Linked DNA regions of Arabidopsis thaliana. The protein of the gene in region 4 interacts with the protein of the main gene of each other region in a pairwise test. Each region holds a gene or a part of one and is shown on either strand. Other genes may lie near its edges. The genes, in order: AT5G43540, RHA1, HB34 and MYB117.

The links.
Region 1: the proteins of MYB117 (region 4) and AT5G43540 interact in a two-hybrid assay, tested with the Arabidopsis thaliana proteins (one large-scale study listed by BioGRID).
Region 2: the proteins of MYB117 (region 4) and RHA1 interact in a two-hybrid assay, tested with the Arabidopsis thaliana proteins (one large-scale study listed by BioGRID).
Region 3: the proteins of MYB117 (region 4) and HB34 interact in a two-hybrid assay, tested with the Arabidopsis thaliana proteins (one large-scale study listed by BioGRID).

The regions. Positions count from the first base shown.
Region 1 is NC_003076.8:17,493,986-17,499,109, forward strand, and holds AT5G43540 (C2H2 and C2HC zinc fingers superfamily protein), read left to right. Parts: upstream 1-2,869; 5' UTR 2,870-3,007; coding exon 3,008-3,421; 3' UTR 3,422-3,709; downstream 3,710-5,124. Other genes in the region: AT5G43530 (Helicase protein with RING/U-box domain-containing protein), read left to right, coding at 1-275, 368-439, 526-624, 723-845; AT5G43550 (F-box associated ubiquitination effector family protein), read left to right, coding at 3,907-4,278.
Region 2 is NC_003076.8:18,537,839-18,544,378, forward strand, and holds RHA1 (winged-helix DNA-binding transcription factor family protein), read left to right. Parts: upstream 1-2,826; 5' UTR 2,827-3,258; exon of another isoform or gene 3,259-3,664; 5' UTR 3,665-3,737; coding exon 3,738-3,953; exon of another isoform or gene 3,954-4,046; coding exon 4,047-4,868; 3' UTR 4,869-5,025; downstream 5,026-6,540. Other genes in the region: AT5G45700 (Haloacid dehalogenase-like hydrolase (HAD) superfamily protein), read left to right, coding at 1-358; AT5G45720 (AAA-type ATPase family protein), read right to left, coding at 5,500-5,601, 5,691-5,754, 5,833-6,244, 6,317-6,540. UniProt on the Arabidopsis thaliana protein: Transcriptional activator that specifically binds DNA sequence 5'-AGAAnnTTCT-3' known as heat shock promoter elements (HSE). May be involved in general response to auxin.
Region 3 is NC_003074.8:10,938,526-10,944,511, reverse strand, and holds HB34 (homeobox protein 34), read left to right. Parts: upstream 1-2,678; 5' UTR 2,679-2,975; coding exon 2,976-3,914; 3' UTR 3,915-4,207; downstream 4,208-5,986. UniProt on the Arabidopsis thaliana protein: Putative transcription factor.
Region 4 is NC_003070.9:9,268,359-9,274,532, forward strand, and holds MYB117 (myb domain protein 117), read left to right. Parts: upstream 1-2,593; 5' UTR 2,594-2,674; coding exon 2,675-3,071; intron 3,072-3,324; coding exon 3,325-3,759; coding exon of another isoform or gene 3,760-3,770; intron 3,771-3,857; coding exon 3,858-4,105; 3' UTR 4,106-4,355; downstream 4,356-6,174. Other genes in the region: AT1G26790 (Dof-type zinc finger DNA-binding family protein), read right to left, coding at 5,499-6,174. UniProt on the Arabidopsis thaliana protein: Probable transcription factor that involved in boundary specification, meristem initiation and maintenance, and organ patterning.

The DNA.
Region 1 (5,124 bases), on a different chromosome or scaffold from region 4:
TCTCATGCCCGACAGATAGTATATTCCGTGTTGATGTGGTAAAGAACTGGAAGGAGTCTTCAAAGGTTTCGGAGCTGCTCAAGTGCTTAGAGAAGATCAAGAAATCTGGTTCGGGCGAGAAGAGCATTGTCTTTAGCCAGTGGACTTCATTTTTGGATCTTTTGGAGATTCCATTGCGAAGAAGAGGATTTGAGTTTCTTAGATTCGATGGGAAGCTGGCTCAGAAGGGAAGAGAAAAGGTTTTGAAAGAGTTCAATGAAACCAAACAGAAAACGGTAAGTCATTGTCTAAATTTCTAACTAACTCTTGTCCAAATCGAACAGAGAGCTTAAGATCTTTATGCTTCTGCTTCTGTGATGTATTACAGATTCTGCTTATGTCTCTGAAAGCTGGAGGAGTCGGTCTGAATCTAACTGCAGCTTCAAGTGTCTTCTTAATGGTACCATCTCTCTTCAAGCTTTGTTTTTTTAAGTCTTCTTGATGATGATGAATTGATCATTTGGTTATGTTTCTTGAAATACGTAGGATCCATGGTGGAATCCAGCGGTGGAAGAGCAAGCGATCATGAGAATTCATCGAATAGGGCAGAAACGAACGGTATTCGTCAGAAGATTCATTGTCAAGGTAACACTATAAACTGCAACTTTCTCTGAGTTTCTAGCATCGTAAGCAAGATCTCGTAAGTAAGTAACATTGTGTTTGTTTTGGATGATTGTGTGCAGGATACAGTGGAGGAACGGATGCAGCAAGTTCAGGCAAGGAAGCAGAGGATGATTGCCGGAGCTTTGACAGATGAAGAAGTCCGGTCTGCAAGACTTGAGGAGCTTAAAATGTTGTTCCGATGAGAGACTTGGAGAAAGTCTTCTTTTTAATCGTCTTTTGAAGTTAGAGAGTCTTCTTTTTGTTTTTTTTCATGTAAATATTGGTACAAGTTATTTATCTTTCTCCCCTAATGAGTTATAAGTAATTTTGAACACTGATTGTCTCGATCCACATATTGTGTATATGAACAGTTGAACGTGGATTATGTAATTTTGAAACATCAGTTACGATCAGAAAAACAGACAAAAAAAAAGAAACCAGTTTGGAAAAAGCAGCTTCAGTGGTTTAGATCAGTGGGTCAAAGAAAGATGTGGCAACAAATCTGGTCAAGTTTTTCTCACCATTCCTCTGCTTCTGCAGATGAGTAACTACTAAACTAAGTGCCGTAACCTACAAGCAAGATTCTAATGATTTTGTCTTATATTGTTCCGTAACAAACTACGTGTAAAATACGGCACTGCCAAAGCTACATAATCAAATTTCAGAAGCCAGATTTTTCCTATGCAAATATTGTATGAGTATGATATAGCTACAATCTACATAAGCTACTTAACAAATATGTTAGGTTTTGTCGATTTTCGTCTATCCGATGAATCTAGTCATGAATCAAAAAGTACTAGTGTATACAAATATATTTGCAGGTTGCAACCAAATTATATAGAGAGACGAACATCCAGCCTGGAAACGTAATGTAAGAAAAAAGGAAAAAAAAAATCACTAAAGTAACAAAAAGTGCACCAGCCGGGAATTGAACCCGGGTCTGTACCGTGGCAGGGTACTATCATGCCACTAGACCACTGGTGCTTTTTGCGGAATGTTGTGGAACTAGGATTCTAAACTAATGATGGAAAGCAGACCAAACCCAAACAAACCGGATTAGGTGTACATGTAACGTAATCAATCAATGATGTGGCAGTAATTAAACGAATCAGTGTACTCGAGTTGCAATCAAATGACATCTTCATTTTTTCGAGCTGTTTAATCAAGAAAATACTATTTACGATCACCTAAGCTAATATTTATTTTTAGCCCATAAACTAAAGTTTAGTTTTGTACTCTATTATGTCTATGTTATCTTTATCTCTTTGATAAATTTTTGAAAGTTTATGACTTATGAATTATGATAATTCGTTTTCATCAAAATATTGTTTTTGTTTTAGTAAAAAATGATCGTTGTGATATTTTGTAGTAGAAAAAGTAAGCAGTCAATCGAGACCTAACTTTTAAAAACGTTTTGCGATAAAAGGTTAGATTATTACAAGACAAACACAAAAGGAATATTTTATAAATTAAAATATAATAACACGATTGATTTAAACCACTCCCTTGCCTTTTAATTGTCATCATTTCTTGTAATTTTGTGGACTAATTGAAGAGTTTAGTTGAAGTTGATTTGGATTTCAGTTAACTGGATTAATGTGAGGATTGGTTTTATCTGATTTATAATCAAATCTTTAATTTGTTATGTCTCTTTCGATATATATTTTGTTTTATGTTCGTTGCTTTGTGTTTATATACGAGTATTGTATTGTAAACAAAACTACTAGAGACGATAGTAAATATTGTTTTACTGATTAAAAAATCATAATCTTATAATTTATTCTACATGTGTATTTTTGTTGGAAACAAAACTGTAAAAGTTTTAGATAATTGTGAGATCATCACTACTCACAAAATAAATATATTTTTTCACTGATTTACTAGAGAACCAATTGAATAACATGGTCTAAACGTAATTTTTGAGGAGCAATACCTTCTAGTGGTATAAATTTATTTTGCCTCTTAGATTTAGCTATATAAACTTTCTATTATTAGCAAGTTAATAATTAATAATAGGCTACATTTATAATCTAGATATAAATAATACATGAGAATAAATAAATAAATAAATCCTTCAAATACGGTGATAGTTATAAGAAAAAATTGGTACATAAATATACGAAGAAAGAAAAAGCCAAATCATGTCTTCCAAACATATAAACACACATCAAGAAAAGTATTATTAGTCTTATATATAAATTTTGTTTCCTCTATCATATAAACCATCCTTATATGCACTCAACACATTTGACAACTCTTTCATCTTTCATCTTCCCTTAAAGTCCTATATTTCGGGTATCAATATTTCTTCAAAATATATATCCCTCGATCGATCGAGGCAACACACACATATATATATATATATATGGAGTGTGAGAGATCATCGTCGTCCACGTCATCAGAAACCGGAGCAGTCAGGCACCGTCGTACGTCGTCGTCGTCAGTCTCCACCGTGACGAGACGAATGTACGAGTGCACTTTCTGCAAAAGAGGTTTCACAAACGCACAAGCTTTAGGTGGTCATATGAACATCCATCGACGTGACCGTCTCAACAAGGCCAAGGTGCAAAACGATGCTGACGTGGCACTCTCGCAAACTCATAGATGTTTCCACGTGGCGTCTGACCTTGGAGGCTACGAGCAAGTAGACTCCGTCGTGTTGAGGACGACGACCTCGAACTACATCCAACACTTACGAATCGGCTCGATGGCTACAAGGAGAGAAAACGTCGTCGTTGAAGGAAATGAAATCGATTTGGAGCTGCGTCTTGGCTTATGATCATCAACTTCTTACCCTCTATAGATGTATAATAATACGTTTTTTTGGTGTATATTATATGGTTTTCGAGGTTGATATATGTAATCTAGGAAAGCGTATATGAGACTATAATATGTCAAGGTAAGATATTTTTGGTGGGTATTTATTTATGCATGTTTTGTGATCTATCTATGAGATATATATAAATCTTTTATCTTATATCATATTATTTTCATTATAGTTTTTTTCCATAACATAGTGAAATCTGTCCCATAATTAATTAATTGTCCAGATCTTCGCATTCTATATATAAAAAAATTTGGCAAATAGAAAATCTGTCCCCTGTAAACGGATTAATATGCTGCACCCGTGGTTCTAGGATTGCGGTTTTTAATCCCACCACTGGCGGTTTGGTGGTATTGCCCCATGTTAAAGCCAACGGAAGAGACATCTACACACGTCTCGGATACGATCCTGTCGATGATCAATACAAAATTTTGTGTGTGATGATGTTCCTTAAGTGTGACGACGGCCATAGACAATACGTTATAGAACAAGAGCATCTGGTTTTATCACTAACATCACACTCATCGTCGTGGAGAAAGATCGAGATCTCGGGAGATGCTTACTCCTACTTAGAAGGTGGGATTTGCATCAATAGTGCTATATACTATGGTGTTGGACATACAAAGATAGCTAGATTTAATATTAGATCCGAGAAGATAATGTTTATTCAAGCACCAGAGGATTATAATGCAATCTCATGTTATTCAACCCTTACAAATTACAAAGGAAAATTAGCATGTGTAAGCTATGACTCCTATTGTGAATCTAAGTTGCGTGTATGGATTCTACACGATGTTGAGAAAGAAGAATAGTCAAGCATCATGACTTGTGTTGTGCCTTGTGACAAGGAGCTATCTTTGTGCAGTGGAGAGAGTCATAACAACGAGGTTGTAGTGGTATCTAGATGCTTAAAGTCATCTAAGCACTTTTTTGTTTACTATTTCGATATGGTCAGAGAGAGTATCATCAGAAGAATTGAGGTTGAGATTGATGGAATCGCCGATTATGAGTTTAGACATATCAATGGAATTGGTAAACATGCTCCTAGGATTTTGTGTTTCCCTGGTCACATTGAGAATCTTATGTACTTGTAAGTTCTAAGTTCTACTCTACCATAAGTTCATTAGCTTCTATTTTCATTTTTAGCCGTTTCAAATCGTTTTTTGTAGTTTGGTTACTTGTTCATGGACTCCTTTTAGCCGTTTGTTTTCTCGAACGCCACAACTACGTCTACCATTAGTCATGGACTCATGGTGATCACCTAATGTAAATGAAGCACGAGTTTACCAAATTACAATGACTGTAAATTAATATTTTCATTCAGTTTGAATGGTCAACGCAAATACGGCATTTCTTTAGATGGGCTTATAACGATAATGGGTTACGAACGGCTTATAGCCCATTCAAAGTTCTTATCTTTCAATTTCAAGTAATTTGCTTTCAAGCCCTTCGAATCTACCAAATTCCAATGACTGTAAATTATTTTTTTTTCCCCTCAAAATACATATTTACAAATATTAATTTACTTATGTATACAGACATTAAAAGGCACTAAAATAAGCTAATTATCATGATATAAAAGTAACTCAAGAGGAAAAGTAACTAAGCTTACATGTAATTCATAATTAGGTGACATCAAATTTACTATTTTTTAATTT
Region 2 (6,540 bases), on a different chromosome or scaffold from region 4:
CCAGATCGTTGTTTTCACGGCGGGATTGAGAGAGTACGCGTCGTTAGTGCTCGATAAATTGGATCCAGAGCGGCGCGTGATATCGCGTAGCTTTTACAGAGACGCGTGTAGCGAAATTGATGGGAGGTTAGTGAAGGATTTAGGGTTTGTGATGAGAGATTTGAGGCGCGTGGTGATTGTTGATGATAATCCGAACTCGTACGCGCTTCAACCGGAGAATGCGTTTCCGATTAAACCGTTTTCTGATGATTTGGAAGATGTTGAGTTGAAGAAACTTGGTGAGTTTTTGTATGGTGATTGTGTCAAGTTTGAAGATATGAGAGTTGCTTTGAAGGAGTTTGTTGGAAGAGATGAATGATTTTTGGTTAATTTCGGTTTAGTTGATTTTACTTGTATTAAGAGGATTTGATTAAGTAGACAATGATGAACAATAGCTTTGTTTGTTCGATCTGTCTTTGTGTAAAACATCCTCGTGATAAGCAATTTGTTAATTTGTTTGATTAGTGTTTTTCTTTGTGATTGAATCAATGGGTTTTTAATGAAGATTTTGAATTTGAACAGTGGACTGAGTTTGACAAGATCGAGAACTTTTTGTGTGGGTAGAGTTAAATTATGGGCCTTTATTGGGCTTTTTGTTCAATGGTGTGTTTACATATCAAAACTTTTAAGTTGTTTTTGTTTACTAATAAGCCATATTATGAAACAGTAGTTTTGAATAATTACAAAGAAAACAAAAAAAGATCAATCAATATATTTTAAATATTTTTTTGGATCACTTTAGAAGCGGAATGTCAAAGCTTTATCATTGCAATACAAAAGTTATGGATAAGAGGTTACATGAAATTGACTTTTGAAGGAGACTGCAAAAATCTAGTCAATAGCTTGAATGGAGGCAGCTCAAGATTTGATTTGGTTAACTGGACCTATGAAAGAAGAGCATGGGAGAGAATATTTGAGCAATTGACAATTGGACACTAGGAGCAACAAATCAAACCTGCAGACATTTTAGCGAAGAAACAACAAACAGAAGTTTCAGACTTCATATCTCATTTTCATATTCCTTCTTGTATATCCAATGAGTTGCACTCAGATTACATTGATCCAAGTTAATGAAAGTTGATTTTTTTTTTTAAACTACAGTAAATTCTCTAGAAATTCCATTAATATATAATTACTAAATTATGGAGAGATTTTACTAATTTTTTTAATTTCTTACAAAATTATATCTGAAAGCAGGTTTCAATATAATCAATATTTTTCTAAAACCAATTATAAAAAGAAAATTAATTATGAAGTTTAGAAAACAATACAAACTTTTTGATATAGTAAAAATTTTAAAAATGAATTGTACCAAAAAATAATCCAAATATAAGAAAAATGAACAACATTAGAGTCATAATTTCATTAAAATATTTTATATATAATTATAGTAATCTATATATGACATATATATATAAATAAATTACTATCATATATATATATATTGATAAGTTTATACAATTATTAATTTATGATAAATGATAAGGCTATATTTTAACATAACATTTTCAAAAATTTATTATCTTATTGTTTTATCGATTTGTGTCAATTCTACATTGGTTCCAACTTGCATCGGAAGAATTTTTTAATTTATATAGATTATTAATTTATCGAGTATTAATTTATAGAAATTTTACTATACCATGATTTGAGGACAACAATGTTTATTTTTAATATCCATTTAAAGTTTTAATTATTATAATACTTGGCTTTTGGGACATATTCTTAGAGATCTTTAAGATATGTATATTGTAAAATCTTAACATATGTTGAAAGCTCAATTATATAATATTACTATATGTCAAATTATTTTGAGACTACATAATGCATATCTAATAATTGTGTTTACAATAATCCTATATAAATAGAGGTTGATGAGCAAGCGACTAAGTTGCAATCACATTTCGTTTGGATCATCTATCACCAACTTTCAAACTTTCAATTTTTTTTATAGTTTCCTAGTTTTTGGAAAAATGGTTTTACTTTTTGTAAGAAACTTGTACAACAAAACATAAATATAACTACACATATTAGACGAAGTTATTGCGTATATTAAAAATTTATAAAAGACTTGATTGGATTTTATTGTTTGCAGAAAGAGGAGCTTCAATTTAAGGTTGGATCTATTGACGAAGGGACTAGATATGACGCATTACGATGTATCGCTAATTGTGAAGGTACACCAACTCAACCAAATATGTAGTTGTATTGAGCTAAAATAAACCATTCGTTAGAGATATAGGGATTTTATGTAGATCATTTTATTAGGCTTAATATTTTAGTCATTTACTTATTTGGTAAATAACAAGAATATACATTCATTCATTGTTGATTGAAAAAACTTGGACATGATAAATTGGTATGTGACTTCCAATATTTTATAATGTATATTTTGTAGATGGATGGATAGAATAATAACCAACACATTAAAATGGCAATATATAACACATTTTCACTAAAAATGTTTTGCCATAAACTGCAAGTTCTCTAAATTAAACAATGTTTACAAATGTTTTTATTTTGTTTTGTTTTGTTAGGAGTTGCTTTTGTTGATTTTGATGAGGAAGAGGCCACAATAATTGTGAAGAGAGAAAAACTCGATGAATGTAAAATTAAGAAAAAATTAGATAAATTTTTGAATGAATCTAAAGGAGGATGTTTCTCTTGTTTTAGTCGCTAATAATTTTTGGAGAAGAAGTGAAGTGAACTGGTAATGGAAATCAACTTTCAAAATAAAATGAAGTTAAAAGAAATTACAAATAGATTCTCATTTGTATTTCTCCCTATTATAATCTACAACATCATATTTTTCTTAATTTGATCAATCTTCATAAGTCAAAATGATCAACAACATTACAAATTTATTATGTTTTTTTTGGGTCAAATTATATGAAATTATATTTGGTAAATTAAAAAGAAAAGAAAAAGAGAGTTGATTGATAATAATAAACCACCAAACCCGTCTTTTAGACACAACAGTTGTTGTTGCCATTCATACGCGCTTCCATCAACCCTTTGGTCTTGGAAGCCAAATCAAACCTTTCCTTCAATCCTCAAATTTTCGAAAATTTTCTCTTTTGCTTTACGTTCTCTCAATTCTTATTTGTAAGAAAGTTTGTTCCTTTAATCAATCAAATCAAAGAGACTTTTGAAGATTGTTTCCCAATTTGCGTCAATCGGGATCGAGTCAAATCTGAAATCTTCTCCACTCATCATCTGGTACGTTTGATGATTCCAAATCAGAAACATTAAAGGACAAGAAATGTTCGAATTTTTGATTGATTCTCTCTGATTTTCAATCATTTGGTTGTAGAAGCAAAAGGGTTTGGTTCATTCATTCTCTCGTGTTGCCCTTATTTCGGATTCGGATAGATTTGGAGCTAAATTAGGGGTTTTGACTTTTTTAGTTTCTCCCATTCAATAAATTTCGAAGCTTGTGAGGGAAAAGTCTTGGTTTTTATTGTCATTTATTACTTTGCTTCTTAAAGCTTGAGAGATCGATTCGTATATTGATTCAAACACTTGACAGTTGTGTCTTAAACTGGAATTGTTGCAATTAAATGTTTATGTTTTCAATGAGTCTCTCTAGTTGAGTTTGATTTCAGCTTCTTGTTCTATCCAACAGACTATAAGACTTAATCAAGGGACTTTTTGTTCGGGTTTGGTTTTAAACGTCTTGGATTCGAAGTGGTTAAGGTATGGATGAAAATAATGGAGGTTCAAGCTCACTTCCACCTTTCCTTACTAAAACATATGAAATGGTTGATGATTCTTCTTCTGACTCGGTCGTTGCTTGGAGCGAAAACAACAAAAGCTTCATCGTCAAGAATCCAGCAGAGTTTTCAAGAGACCTTCTTCCGAGATTCTTCAAGCATAAGAATTTCTCAAGTTTCATCCGTCAGCTTAATACATATGTAAAGCTTTTGTCTTTGTATCTCATCTCTTTGGGGATTGGTGTTTGCTGCATCGCTAAGATTAACAACCTTTTTGTGTTTTTGTTTGCGTAGGGTTTTCGAAAAGTAGATCCTGAGAAATGGGAATTCTTGAATGATGATTTTGTTAGAGGTCGACCTTACCTTATGAAGAACATTCATAGACGAAAACCGGTTCATAGCCACTCGTTAGTGAATCTACAAGCGCAAAATCCTTTGACGGAATCAGAAAGACGGAGCATGGAGGATCAGATAGAAAGACTGAAAAATGAGAAAGAAGGCCTTCTTGCGGAGTTACAGAACCAAGAGCAAGAACGGAAAGAGTTTGAGCTGCAAGTAACGACATTGAAAGATCGGTTACAACATATGGAACAACATCAGAAATCAATAGTGGCATATGTTTCACAGGTTTTGGGAAAACCAGGACTTTCACTAAACCTCGAAAACCATGAGAGAAGAAAAAGAAGATTTCAAGAGAACTCTCTTCCTCCAAGCAGTTCACACATAGAACAGGTCGAAAAGTTAGAATCTTCGCTAACGTTTTGGGAGAATCTTGTATCGGAATCATGCGAGAAGAGCGGTTTGCAGTCATCAAGCATGGATCATGATGCAGCTGAGTCAAGTCTAAGTATTGGCGATACACGACCCAAATCATCGAAGATTGATATGAACTCAGAGCCGCCCGTTACCGTTACTGCGCCTGCTCCAAAAACAGGCGTTAACGATGACTTTTGGGAACAATGTTTGACAGAGAACCCTGGATCAACCGAGCAACAAGAAGTTCAGTCAGAGAGAAGAGATGTCGGTAATGATAATAATGGTAATAAGATTGGAAATCAAAGGACGTATTGGTGGAATTCAGGGAATGTAAATAACATTACAGAGAAAGCTTCTTGACATGAATGAGGTTTTTGTAAAATAGTTTTCTTTTGGTTCCACTGAGATTATTGTATGTGTTCATTATTTATTACTCTGTTTCTGTAAAAACAAATCTCTCTATTGTTTGAGGCAGGAGTGACATAAATGCATATGCAGAATTGGTTTCTTTGCCTTCATATTTCAGTTATATAATTTACAGAGTCAGTTTTGTTTGTAGCAAACATATGAACAAAGAGAGAGTTACAGAGTTTAGGAAAAGAAACAACAAAATTCTAAAAAGAATTAAAAAAGCTCCGATGCCGGGAATCGAACCCGGGTCTCCTGGGTGAAAGCCAGATATCCTAACCGCTGGACGACATCGGATTTGATGTTCATAGAACTCTTATTAACTATATACTCAATGATGGACCAAACAAACCAACGAAGGAGATCAATGAAACAATTGGTTTTGAGTTATCTGACAACTATTTCATCAAAAATAATACAAAATGCAAGAAATTTTGTCATGCCCTAATAAAAAATAAAAACTCATAATTATTTAGCTAAATAAAGATTTCTTGATCAAAGATTCAAGAAAATTTCTATAGCTACAAAGATTACATTATGATCTAAGAAAAGAAGTAAAGCAAAATAAGAAGAAGAAACAAAACTATCTAGGAGGAGATCTCGTTGATAGACATTTCCCACAAGAGACAAGCTTCAACAACGAATGTAATCGTAACTTCCTTGTTCTCACCTTCAATCTCGATAGCTACAATTTCAAAGTTTCAATTTTTCAATCACAAAGACAACAAACAGAGTCATATATATAAAGAATAGAGAGAAATTGAATGTGTTTACCTTGCGACGAGTGCTTCTTGATGCTTTCCAACATATCAAGCTTCTTGATCTTGGTTCAAGTTTCCTGCAAAAACCAACGAATTATCAAACAAAACTGTAAAAAAAAATTTTAGGAACAAGTTTTGGTTAATCTTGTTCTTACAAATTCTCTTGTTCAAGCTTATTTGCAATCTCCACAGCTTTGTGTTTCGACCAACTGTTTCCTTCAGCTTGTTTAATCACTTGAGCCAACGAAACTTTTCCTCTCACAATGCTCTGGTTCTGATTTTGGTTTTGGTTTTGACTTGCTTCCAAGTGTTTCCTTCTAACTCGAGTCATTGGAGATTCAGAGTCAGCCACTTCAACGATTTCGCTTCTTCCGCTTTCACGGAATCTCTCACCGTTGCTTAAACCTTGTAATGACGAGAAACCGAGGTCTTTCTTCGACTCGGTTCTCATCTCTAACGTGACTGGAGATCCAAGAACAGCCTCAAACGCTTTCAAAATGTGTTCTTCGAAATTCTCAGCCGTTGATTTCGCTATTGGCGAATTAAACATTAACTGCACCATAGGAGCTGCGAAAACTACGAAGTTAGAAAAGCTTTGTTTTCAATATGAACAATGTTCTACTACGTTTATGCATTTACCTGAGCCGATACTAATCGAAAAGATCTTCCCTTCTTTATAAAGAAACTCTCGTAAGCCGTTAACTCGAACATTCTCGATAACCGCTAACCAAATATCTTCAACGGAAGGTCGGTTTTTGCAGCTGAAACCTTGCTTACTATCATCTCTTCTTGTTCCGGCTACAACATGGTTCGAAGGATCCGAATCCGTCAATGGAGTATGGTTAAAGCTAGCATCAGCAGAA
Region 3 (5,986 bases), on a different chromosome or scaffold from region 4:
TTTTAAAATAATAAATAATAAAATGATTGTTTTTTAAATTATATTTGGACAATGACTATTAGTCTAGTCACTAGTCTATTTAGTATATTTTTCAACTAATTAAAAAAAAAAAATACGCAGGTGGTCCTCGTGTAGAGAGACAAAAATGGTATTTATCTTTTTAAGAGTATATTATTAATGGTTTTTTAAAATAATTTTTAAATTAAGAGACATGTCTTATAATGTCTTATAATAGCTTATAACTAACAAAAATCTCTTATTTAAAAGACTTTAAAACACTTTAGTTAGATATAAGACATATTTTTTAATTAATAGTTATGTTAAGATACCATCAATAAAAATTGTCTAAGATGGAGTAATATAGTAATTTAATATAGTCCATTGGGCCACTGAAACTTGTCCAAAATCGTTTTACAGTATATCACTAATTTGGTTCGGGTCAGCTAAAAATATGTTCTTAATCTCTCGCGGTCTAAGTTAATAGCCACAGTTAGAAACTAATGCATTATAGCTAATAAACGTACAAAAAAAAAATATTGTTTTATCTTCTTCTGATAATCTGATTCCTGATCTAGAAAAATGTGGTTCCATCATTCTTTCGACCAAGAAAATAGAATAATTCTTTATCATCAAACAAAAAAAACAATAAAGAAAACTTAGTCCCCAACATAATATACATCTTATTCTCATAATAGACATCATTAACCATAATTTTTATGCACCGAATCTGTATATCTAATCCATGTACAGAAATATTTGTAGTACGAAATTCAAAATACACATAGATGCACATAATTTATTTGTGACAAAAAACGAAGAAGGCAAAGATTGTTATATCGGACGTAATATGTGGTTTAATATTTCACGTACCACTTAACTGATGTTTGATGGTGGTGTACGAACCGATTGAGAGATAATTAAAAAAAAAAATCGAAGGATCATATTTTTCGTGTTTGGTTACCGATCGATAGGTTGAATTTCTCGGTCCAATGATGCAATCATTCGTTGGAAAATAATTTGTGATTTCAGAATCCAAAAACATGCGTACAATACGACCTTCTTATTTGCCAATTCATTTGTATAGTGATTATTCTCATCACTATGGTTTAGTCATCATTGGCTTTGTTCTGAAATGTTTTTCTTTATTTTTTTTGGTTTTAGCCGTATTTTGCTTGTTCGAAAGAAGGAGCAAGTTGTGATGCTCTTGATGTGATCGCCCAGAAGAAACTTTGGCCACCGACTTCGTTTTTCTCGGCGATGGTCGCTTGGTACGAACACATTGGCCTTGGCCCATGGCGTTTGCTTGATTGTTTGTACACACCACCGCACATGACAGAGAATCATCAAAATTTGAATATTTTAAATAATAAATATAAATTACATATATTTAGTAAGTTCCGATACTAATTTAGATTTTAGTCTATGACCTTGAATGACGGTAGTTTTTAGACATTAGGTCTTAGTTTTAAACCCAAAAGACCGAATTTGATATAGGATCTATTTATGGTAACCGAAGAATTTAACTGCATATGACTAAAGACATGACTGGTTTAATTGCAGCGGACGGGGCTGTGGTTTCGCTTGCGGTTGCGGAAATTTGCGGAAGCGAGATATTGTGGTTTCAAGCGTTTTAAACGACTAATTTAACGTTTCAAAATAGATGCATTTGCAGAAATCTTATGACTAGATGCAATAATAATTAAATAAATAAAAAAGATCCAAAATAAATATAATATATAGGATTAGATACAAATATGAAAAGATATATACAGAATTATATATATTTATCTTAATTACAAATATGTTGATTATTTATTATTATTTTAATATTTTAATTCAACCGCTACCATCCACAACTACAAACGTTTGCGGGAAGGAGTTTTTGAAATGTATTGATATCGAGCGATCCGAGCAGTATCCCGCGATTTATATGATTATTGTCAATCACTAACAATTGTTACCACATGTAAATGATGCGTTTGCATGTAGTAGAAGGAGAACCAATCAACCCCTTAACTGATGATGGCTGAATTTATTTTAAAGGTGGCTGAATGACTTCAAATGATAACCACTGAATTTATTTGAGATTATTCATTTTTCAATATAGTTACCTGCTGGTAACATATATTTCCTCCATTCATAATAATATCGTTTTAAATATTTTTATATAAATTATTAATATATATTATATTTTAAAAACCAAACTGATTCATACTTTATAGATTTTACATTGAAAATTTAGAACAATACTTATTTTGGAAAAAATCTTTAAACAACAAAACAGAATAAGTATTTTTTTTAATATTATTTTGTGAAAAACAACTATTTAGTTTACAATAATACCTAATAGTATAAGTAAACTTTTACAAAGTTGTTCGGTAATTACATTGTAATAGTCAAATATACAAAATGCTAAACATATTTTAACAGAAGGAACAAATATTAGAATAAAGTAAAAAGAAGCCAACTTCAAAAAAAAACAAGAAGTGTCACAATGCATGAGAATATTAATTATAATTGGACTGTCTTTAGGTTTAAGACATTTATTACTCTATATATATTTCCCCACTCCCTATTACAGGTCCCACTTTTAACCATACATTTAACCATAGTTAAATCATCAAACCCTACCTTTCTCTGTTAAACATCTTCAAGCTCTGTCCTTTTATTTTAAATATATTTATTATTCACATTTATTAACATTTTTATATCTCTCCCTATTAAATTATTTTATTCTCTCTTAGCAACATTCATCAACCAGAGCAGATTCACTATCATCATCTTATAACACATCTTCTTCCTCTAAAGTTTATTTTCTTAAACTTATTACAAAAAACATGATCTTCAAAAGTTGATTTAATCTCTTTTTATCCATCTTCTTCTTCATTTCTCAATATCAAACTTTTCTTTTTTTGTAAGCTTAACATAAACCCTAATATTTTCTTGATTTTTTTCAAGAAAATAAAAACATAAAGATGCTTGAAGTTAGATCAATGGATATGACTCCAAAATCACCAGAACCCGAATCCGAAACTCCGACCCGGATCCAACCAGCTAAACCAATCTCTTTCAGTAACGGAATCATCAAACGCCACCACCACCACCACCACAACAACAACAAAGTCACTTACAAAGAATGTCTCAAGAACCACGCGGCGGCGATTGGTGGTCACGCGCTTGACGGTTGCGGCGAATTTATGCCGTCTCCTTCGTCAACACCTTCCGATCCAACTTCTCTCAAGTGTGCAGCTTGTGGTTGTCACCGTAACTTCCACCGCCGTGAAACTGACGATTCCTCCGCCGTTCCACCACCGTCTCTTCTTCCATCTTCAACAACAACCGCCGCAATTGAGTATCAGCCTCATCACCGTCATCATCCTCCTCCTCCGCTAGCTCCTCCGTTACCACGTAGTCCTAATTCATCTTCTCCGCCGCCTATCTCTTCCTCCTACATGCTTTTAGCTCTCTCCGGTAATAATAAAACCGCACCGTTCTCAGATCTAAACTTCGCCGCCGCGGCTAACCATCTCTCCGCCACGCCTGGCTCGAGGAAGCGATTCAGGACGAAGTTTAGCTCAAATCAGAAAGAGAAGATGCATGAATTCGCCGATCGAATCGGTTGGAAGATTCAGAAACGTGACGAAGACGAAGTTCGTGATTTTTGCCGTGAGATCGGAGTTGATAAAGGTGTTCTCAAAGTTTGGATGCATAATAACAAAAACTCCTTCAAATTCTCCGGCGGAGGAGCAACCACCGTGCAGAGAAACGATAACGGTATCGGCGGCGAGAACAGTAACGATGATGGAGTTCGCGGTTTAGCTAACGACGGTGACGGTGGTGGTGGGAGATTTGAGAGTGATAGTGGAGGAGCTGATGGTGGCGGAAACGTAAACGCCTCGTCGTCTTCGTCGTGAAGAAGAAAACATCATGTCGTTTTGCAGGGAAAGAGTTATAATAATGGAAGCTTAAGCTTTGTTTTTAGCTTTAGATCATAGAGAGTAAGCACTGGTATTATTATCGTTAATACGTTTTATTAATATTAATTAAACTCTTTTAGCTCTTTTTTAATTTTCCAATTTTATTATAATTTCATTACCACGACGTTGTCTTATTTTTCCATTTAAAGTAAGTTTATATCAACAAATTGGATTATGTTATAATAAGTCAATTTTGGTTAATTTAATGAACCCTAATGAGGAAAATTTTATAACTTTAATGTTTTTTTTAATAATATGTTTTTTGGCTTCTTATCTTAAAAGCATTTTGTCTTTTTAAATTGTAACGTTCCCAAAGGTTTCATAATACTTTTCCACTAATGGAAAGATTATATGAACTAATCACCCGAATTAGTCACAACACTATAGGTCAATTTAGGTAATCAAACGAACCCTAAAATGTGAGTCCCAAACATAAATAAACTATTGCAATTTAGTTAATTATTTAATATTATTTGATGGTTTCTTATCTTGAAGAGTACTTTGTCGCTTAATTTAATATGCGATCAAACTAAGATCTAGGTGTCCTTTTCATAAATCTCTCTTTATTCTTTGAGAAAAGAGACAGGTTTTGTTTTATATATTAATTATTCTAATAATATATTTTGCAATGATTAGTTATCTTGGTGTCTAATTAACAAAAGATTCATCGGATAATTCATTTTAATTTCCTCATTAATCCATTTCTTTATCATCCTTACATTCCCACTATCCGTTTTTGGTATATATGCTCAAGTGTTCGATATTCTTAAAGTGCAAACTACAAATAAGTATATATTATATAATTGGGATCTAACTATTATTATTAAAGTGCTATATAGTGTTAATTTAGGGCGTGGAACTAATCATTAACTTTACGAATAATTTAAATAACTTTCTAACTGGGAAACGTAGAAATGCAGCCGTGATTATGCGATAGGCTTAAGACAATTAGATACTAGTCGTGATTAATAAATGTCGGCTTACCAAACATAAAATATTAATAAAACTGTAATTAGATTAGAATATTGCATGAGAAAGCACAAAATATGTTATGTAGTATGCTTTTGGTGTCTAGGATTTAATTCTTAGAGAATACGTTTTGTCTAATTAGCTAGATTTATGGATAAAACTATCTAAAGATGTATAATATAATGTAGATAGAATATCTGGGTTTCTATGTGAATTGTCAATTAAATTTGACCTATGAATGAATATATGCAATGAATTTTATATTACAATAGAATTGTTTGTTGTGCATTCGTTTGTAAATACTAAATAGGTAGTACTATTAATTATGTTTTATAAAAAAAGAAAATTTTGGATTATATTATCATTATGGTTTTAGAAAATCAAATTATTTGTTGAATGATGTTGTAATAGAATAAAAATCTAAACAGTGATAATTCACTTGATTACAGAAATTTATCGAAAAAATCTGAGGTTCAAGTTTTTACTTAAGAAAAATGGTTTACGTTTTTAATAAGTTTTACTAATTAAGGGGTTTTTGGGTCAAAACTAAGGGTTGGTTCAATATATATGGAGAGAGATTTTGGTAAAGATCTATACATTATATATATATATATATATTTTACGTTATCACCAAATAGAATTTGTTAAATTTATGCTAATAAACAAATTAATATATATTTGCTATTATTTTACAGATTTCGTGAAGTCACAAATCTCTTTTTCGTGGTAGGGACAAACTTTAACACAGGGTGAGGTTATGGCCCTAACTGCCATATACCATGTGCACAGTGCACCACTTACTAATTTGAATTATTCCTGACGTAACTATTGCTAACAAAATTCCTACTTCTTATTTTAATTTATATAATTATTTTTTGGAAACATAGATGACCTAATTTCCGCTATAAATTAATTTTAGTGGAATATACTGAAATAATTTTGTGATGTAAATTTTAGTCGTTTTACTAATCACAAATTATTGATGGAATCCGATTTGCAGAAAACTATTTATCATATTTTTTAATATGAATTATGAACAT
Region 4 (6,174 bases):
CACATAACATATTACATATAGATGGATGCCACGTCAGAAAAGAGTCTATTTGAAAGCGAACTTTTCTTTCGAGTAAAACACAAACCTGACCAAACGTGTAACAAAATTAAACATTATCGTACAAGGGGACATTGTAACACATGAATAACTAAGGTTGATAAAATTTGTAGACGGACATAAAGAATTCCAAGAAAAGTGAATTAGGTGAAATTTAAATGGGCTATGGGGTCAAAGAATGGTCGAGAAAATAAAAATTAGATTATGTCAGACGAGTAAAATTGAGCTTTGGATTAATTCCAACGTTTTAGTGATTCCTTATTACACATTTGATGTATTTTTGTGACAAACTGACAAAAGTATATATTAATGCTATGTTGAAAAAGGTATGTTCAAGCTTGTAATCAATTTTGGACTGAGTCACGCATGGACCGTAGCTAATATATCCACCGAAACGGATTGACCATGAGATCGCAATCTATTTTATACCTCAGATAATTTTTGTCCCCTCACTATATGAGCTTTACATACATCTGTTTCCAGAGTAATTTAGTTGCTTATTCTGTTAGTCACTCCCTAAAACAAGCTACTACACTCGATCAAGCAGTAACATCAAACTCCTTTAATCTTCCAAGTTAGACTCTCTTCTTACTTTTCAAGGTATGTTTAAATATTTAACATGTTTATAAATAATTCCATGTGTAAATAGAACATATGTTTTTAATAACTTAGTATTTTAGACGAAAGAATCGAAAATCTAGTACTAGTCTACTGGATATAAACAAAGTAACAAGATAGATTCATAGCCCAAAACAAAAGAACAACCAAATCGAAGTCCCACTTTAGCTAGTGGCTCTACTTACAAACAAACATAATTAATAGTGTGTTTCACCATATTTTATTTCATCATTTCATTTTAAACGGTAAAAAAAAACTGATTACAATTTTTATAAATGTTTGTTCTGCAAAATATAAAATTAAATAAAGCTGCATAACTTTCTGTTTCATAAAATTATATAGTTCATATATACTTCTTCACCCAACCTTTTATTTCATATTTCATATATAATATTAATGTGTATTTCAAAGTGATTGACCAATTAAAAAGAAAATATGACGAAGAGAAAGAGAGTTTGTAGTGCGTTCGGTTAAATCTCTGTGCAGAGGATCGTACAGTTCTGAGACCCCTTTTGTATCTGTATTTATCCCATATTTAATGGTTACGTCTGCCAATTGGGATTTCTGGTCAAATACGAAAAGGTCTTAAAAGTTATTTCTTTACATTTTTACTGTTCATTCTCATTACTTATACACACTTCCACACGGCCACATTCCTCATGTATGTGGGATATTTAGGGTTGAGAGTTTTTTTGAATTGGCATTGTAATATCTCGTTATTAAAAACCATGAGACTGCTACAAAGAATAAAACAGTCAAAATTTCAAGATTATTTGATACAACATGACAAGGAGAAAATGAGTATATTGAAGCGATGTTTAATTAAGAAAAAAATTGAATGAAGAAAAAAGATTGTGGTTAATTTTTTAAGATAAGAGAGGGTTTCACAGAAACAAAAATGGTAGTAAAAAGTAAAGGAATGAAAGACAAGTGGAGATTAAGAGAGAAAGAGGTAAATTTTAAGGAACCCAAAATGAAATGAAAGAAAAAGCTGTCTGAGAATTGGTTGTGCTAAGAAGAGACCCGACTCATTCCCCAATGGTAAACTCTCTTTTTGCCTTCATCCTTTTTTGGTAGTTAGTTCTGCTTCAGCTTTTTTTCTTTCATCTCATTAGCTTTTATTATTTTCACCTTGCACCTATAAAACATGCATTGATTAATAGAGGATAAATTTCACCTAATAACGGTAAGATTCATTTCGGACTCGTCCAAGATATTCTCTACATTCATTGTTTTTTAGGTCGACACTCCCAACATTAATTTATTTTGTCATAATCCATTGGTTTTCATTAAATAAAAGAGGAAATACTATCTTATACATCAAACTAAGATAAACATTAATTATTCATAAAAGTAGGAAATTTGTATAAGGAACCATAGAGAAGCAGCGTAATTAATGTTATCGTTTGATTATGAACCCTAATACGACTATAAAACTATTGCATACTTTTCAATTACTATCAATCTATGGACATGGAAAAAAACTTGGTCTTCAAATCTTAGTTACTTTTAAATTTAATAAATGATTTATCAGAAAAACTCTTTAACTTCTATGAAACTAGGTACACCTGAACAAATGTATAACAGTCCACAGCAAAATCGAATATCGATAATACACATTTGTACTTACTTATTACAGTAGTGTATATGTAATATATATAATAATGTATAAATGCAAAGAACTCTGTCGTTTGAATTAGTCCGTGACGACGGTCCATAACCCTTTTTAACAGTCGTCAGAAAACACGGTCGCGACATGTACATACACGCACATACCTAAAGCCATACGTAACAAACACACCATTATATACAAAAGATATTCTATTATTTTTAAAAAATAATATTTATGACACACATTTACGTACGTGTATATATAATATGCAAATGCACTCACATAAGTCTTTCTCCTCCGATGGTATATGTCTATAAGCTGACGTGACATCTCTCTTAATTCTCAATAACACTTCTCTTCTTCTTCCTTTCTCCCAACACTAACTCCATGTTTATAACGGAAAAACAAGTGTGGATGGATGAGATCGTCGCAAGAAGAGCTTCTTCTTCTTGGGACTTCCCTTTCAACGACATTAATATTCATCAGCATCATCATCGTCACTGCAACACAAGTCATGAGTTTGAAATCTTGAAGAGTCCTCTTGGAGATGTAGCGGTTCACGAAGAAGAGAGTAATAATAATAACCCTAATTTCAGTAACAGCGAGAGTGGTAAGAAGGAGACAACAGATAGTGGTCAGTCTTGGTCCTCGTCGTCTTCAAAACCATCGGTCTTGGGGAGAGGACATTGGAGACCAGCTGAAGATGTTAAACTCAAAGAGCTTGTCTCCATTTACGGCCCACAAAACTGGAACCTCATAGCTGAAAAGCTTCAAGGAAGATCTGGTAAGTTAAATCAAAACCTTATTTATTTTCTATTTCTTTTGACAGCAAGTTAAATCAAAACCTTATAGATCTTCAAAATTTCATCAAAACCAGTTTGTTTGATTCATCTGGATCTGTCAAGTTCTTAAGATCCGGTGATAAAATCAATTTTTGTTTTTATTAGTTTTCTTGGTCTTTAGCCTTCTATGTCCAATCTAAGTCCTAACGTAATTTTTTTTGAGTTTTATTAACTTAATCTTGATTGTTTTTAAAGGGAAGAGCTGTAGACTACGATGGTTTAACCAATTGGACCCGAGGATAAACCGAAGAGCTTTCACAGAAGAAGAAGAGGAGAGGCTGATGCAAGCACATAGGCTTTATGGTAACAAATGGGCAATGATTGCGAGGCTTTTCCCTGGTAGAACTGATAATTCAGTGAAGAACCATTGGCATGTTGTCATGGCTCGTAAGTATAGAGAACACTCTTCTGCTTACCGTAGGAGAAAGCTTATGAGTAATAATCCACTTAAACCTCACCTCACCAATAATCATCATCCTAACCCTAACCCTAATTACCACTCTTTTATCTCCACTAATCATTACTTCGCTCAGCCTTTCCCCGAGTTTAATTTGACTCATCACCTGGTTAATAATGCCCCTATCACGAGTGACCATAACCAGCTTGTGTTGCCTTTCCATTGCTTTCAAGGTAGCCTATAGCTCTTCCTCCTCTTTCAATAGTTTTTTCAATTGTCTTTTGCATATTTTGAACTCTTTTTTGGTTTTTGTTATATCTACAACGTTCAGGTTATGAGAACAATGAACCTCCGATGGTTGTGAGTATGTTTGGCAACCAAATGATGGTCGGCGATAACGTTGGTGCCACGTCAGACGCGTTATGCAATATTCCGCACATTGACCCTAGTAACCAAGAGAAACCGGAGCCAAATGATGCAATGCATTGGATCGGAATGGACGCGGTAGATGAGGAGGTGTTCGAAAAGGCTAAGCAGCAACCACATTTTTTCGATTTTCTTGGCTTGGGGACGGCGTGAATGTTGAACAAATTGGTGTTAATCAGATAACGACAGTGGTTAAATTTGGTTACAAAAAAAATAGCATTTAGCTTTAGTAGCTAGAAAACAAACAAACCAGATCCTAGCCTTTGTCCTTGCGTTTACGTTAATTACTAAACTGTAGATTGTTGTTGTTGGCACTTGGTTGTCTAGTGTAACATTTGATAAGTCATTGTTTTTAGTAGTACTCGTTCAGAAATATTTAACAAAGAGAGATTGGTTTTAAAAAGTTGATTCTTTTATGATGAAGTGACGTGAAATATTGCTAAAGACGTGTTGAGAATAACAACGAGAGAGAGAGAGAGAGAAGGGAAATTAAAAAGAGTGGAGTTTCTAGGAGTTGGAGAAAGAGACGAAGATGCGTAATTAAGAGAAGAGGAACTGCCAAAATTGAGGCAGAGATTGTGCAACAGAAAGGCCAAACATGAAACATGCTCACCAAATCTCACACACACATTGCATTTGTTTCTTCTCTTCAAACCGTTTTTCCAACTCTTCAAGCTTCTTACCTATGTATCTCTCTCATGTCACGCGGACCCACACATGCCCTTCTTTCTTGTAATTCTTTCCATGTTGTAGATATAAAAGAAAAATTTAAATTGAATTGTTCTTTTGTATAGTTTTGGTTGGGTTAAAAAAAAAGGAAAAAAATTAGTTTTGGTTTTGAATATGAGTTTTTAAAATAATATATAACGTGGATAAATGTATGGGTTTTTCGGATTTTGAAAGGTTGTTGTAGAGAAGATTTTTAATTTACCCATTGGGTCTGAAATTGCTTCAATAGGCCCAATCTATTTCGGAGATGTTCTCGAGTCTCTCTTTTTGGGAACAAACATCCGAGTGAAGTCAATATTAAGTGATTTTCGAAAAGATAAAAACTATTCTAAAACTAATTAACATTTTTCCACTCATTTTAGTAATTCTCCCAAAGTAAAGTGCTTAAAGAGAGGGGGAAAAAAGTGCTTAAAGTGTTTTCTTCTTATTGTTTCCCTTTATACGCAAATGAAGAGACTTATTTTATTTTCAAAGAAAGAGACTTTTATGTTTCTCCTTTAGCTTTTAGTTTGTACCAATCAGATGGATTCTGTACCAAGGACTCCAAGTTAAGATTCTCTACTTTTTCTCCTTTACATGAAAATTCACACATATGTTTTTTTTCCAATTAATTTATACACTAGTACTACAAAATACAAATAATGGAGTAAACAATATTTTCGAACCACATTTACCAAAAAAGACATTACACTTCAGCATTTCCATCTGTTTGGATAATCTACAAAATGGGGATTGTGGTATATAAATAAGATAGATATTAAAAGTTAATTCATCACACAAAAAAAGGTATCTACAAAGTTTCTTTTCTCCTTTAACGTTATATGCTCTCTCTGAAGTTCATAGATCTTGCCATGGCTGCAGGGTTTGCTTGCAGGTTAAGATACGTTTCAGGGACGAATCTGTTGTTGCTGCTCTTTGTTTCAGCTCCATTACTGAAAAAGCTGAATTCTTGTGTCTTCTCGCGGGTCATCGGTACTGGATACCACACATGGTTATTTGTAGCCATACTTGTTTCATTTTTGATGCTCTGAGATTCCAAAAGCAAGCTTGTTCTCTCAAAAGCATTTTTACTCTCTTTAACAGTTTCATGAGAAGTTTCGTCTCTTGTCCTTTTCCCAAGACATGTAGAAGTGTCGAGGGTAGACCAAACCGGTATCGCGCAGCCCCAGTAGACGGGCATGTGGTAGAAACTAGGGTTTGGAGGGTATTGGTAAGGCCAAGGAGGCGAAACAGGGGATGCTTGGGGAGGAAGTAACCCTTGGAAGTTGTTGGGTTCTTGTGAAACAGGTTCAGCGTTTATCTTCACTTCGTTTGATTGATGCTTAGGCCTCTCAGTTACCAAAGAGTCCGAAGACTCGAAGCTTAGAATCTTTGTTGAGGAGCTATTGTAATTGTCAGTATCCTCGGAAGTGATGTGCAGGTACTGGTCTGAAGAAACCCATCCCTTGTTCTTGCGACGGCCTGAGCCAACCGGGACGATCCTCATGGATCCA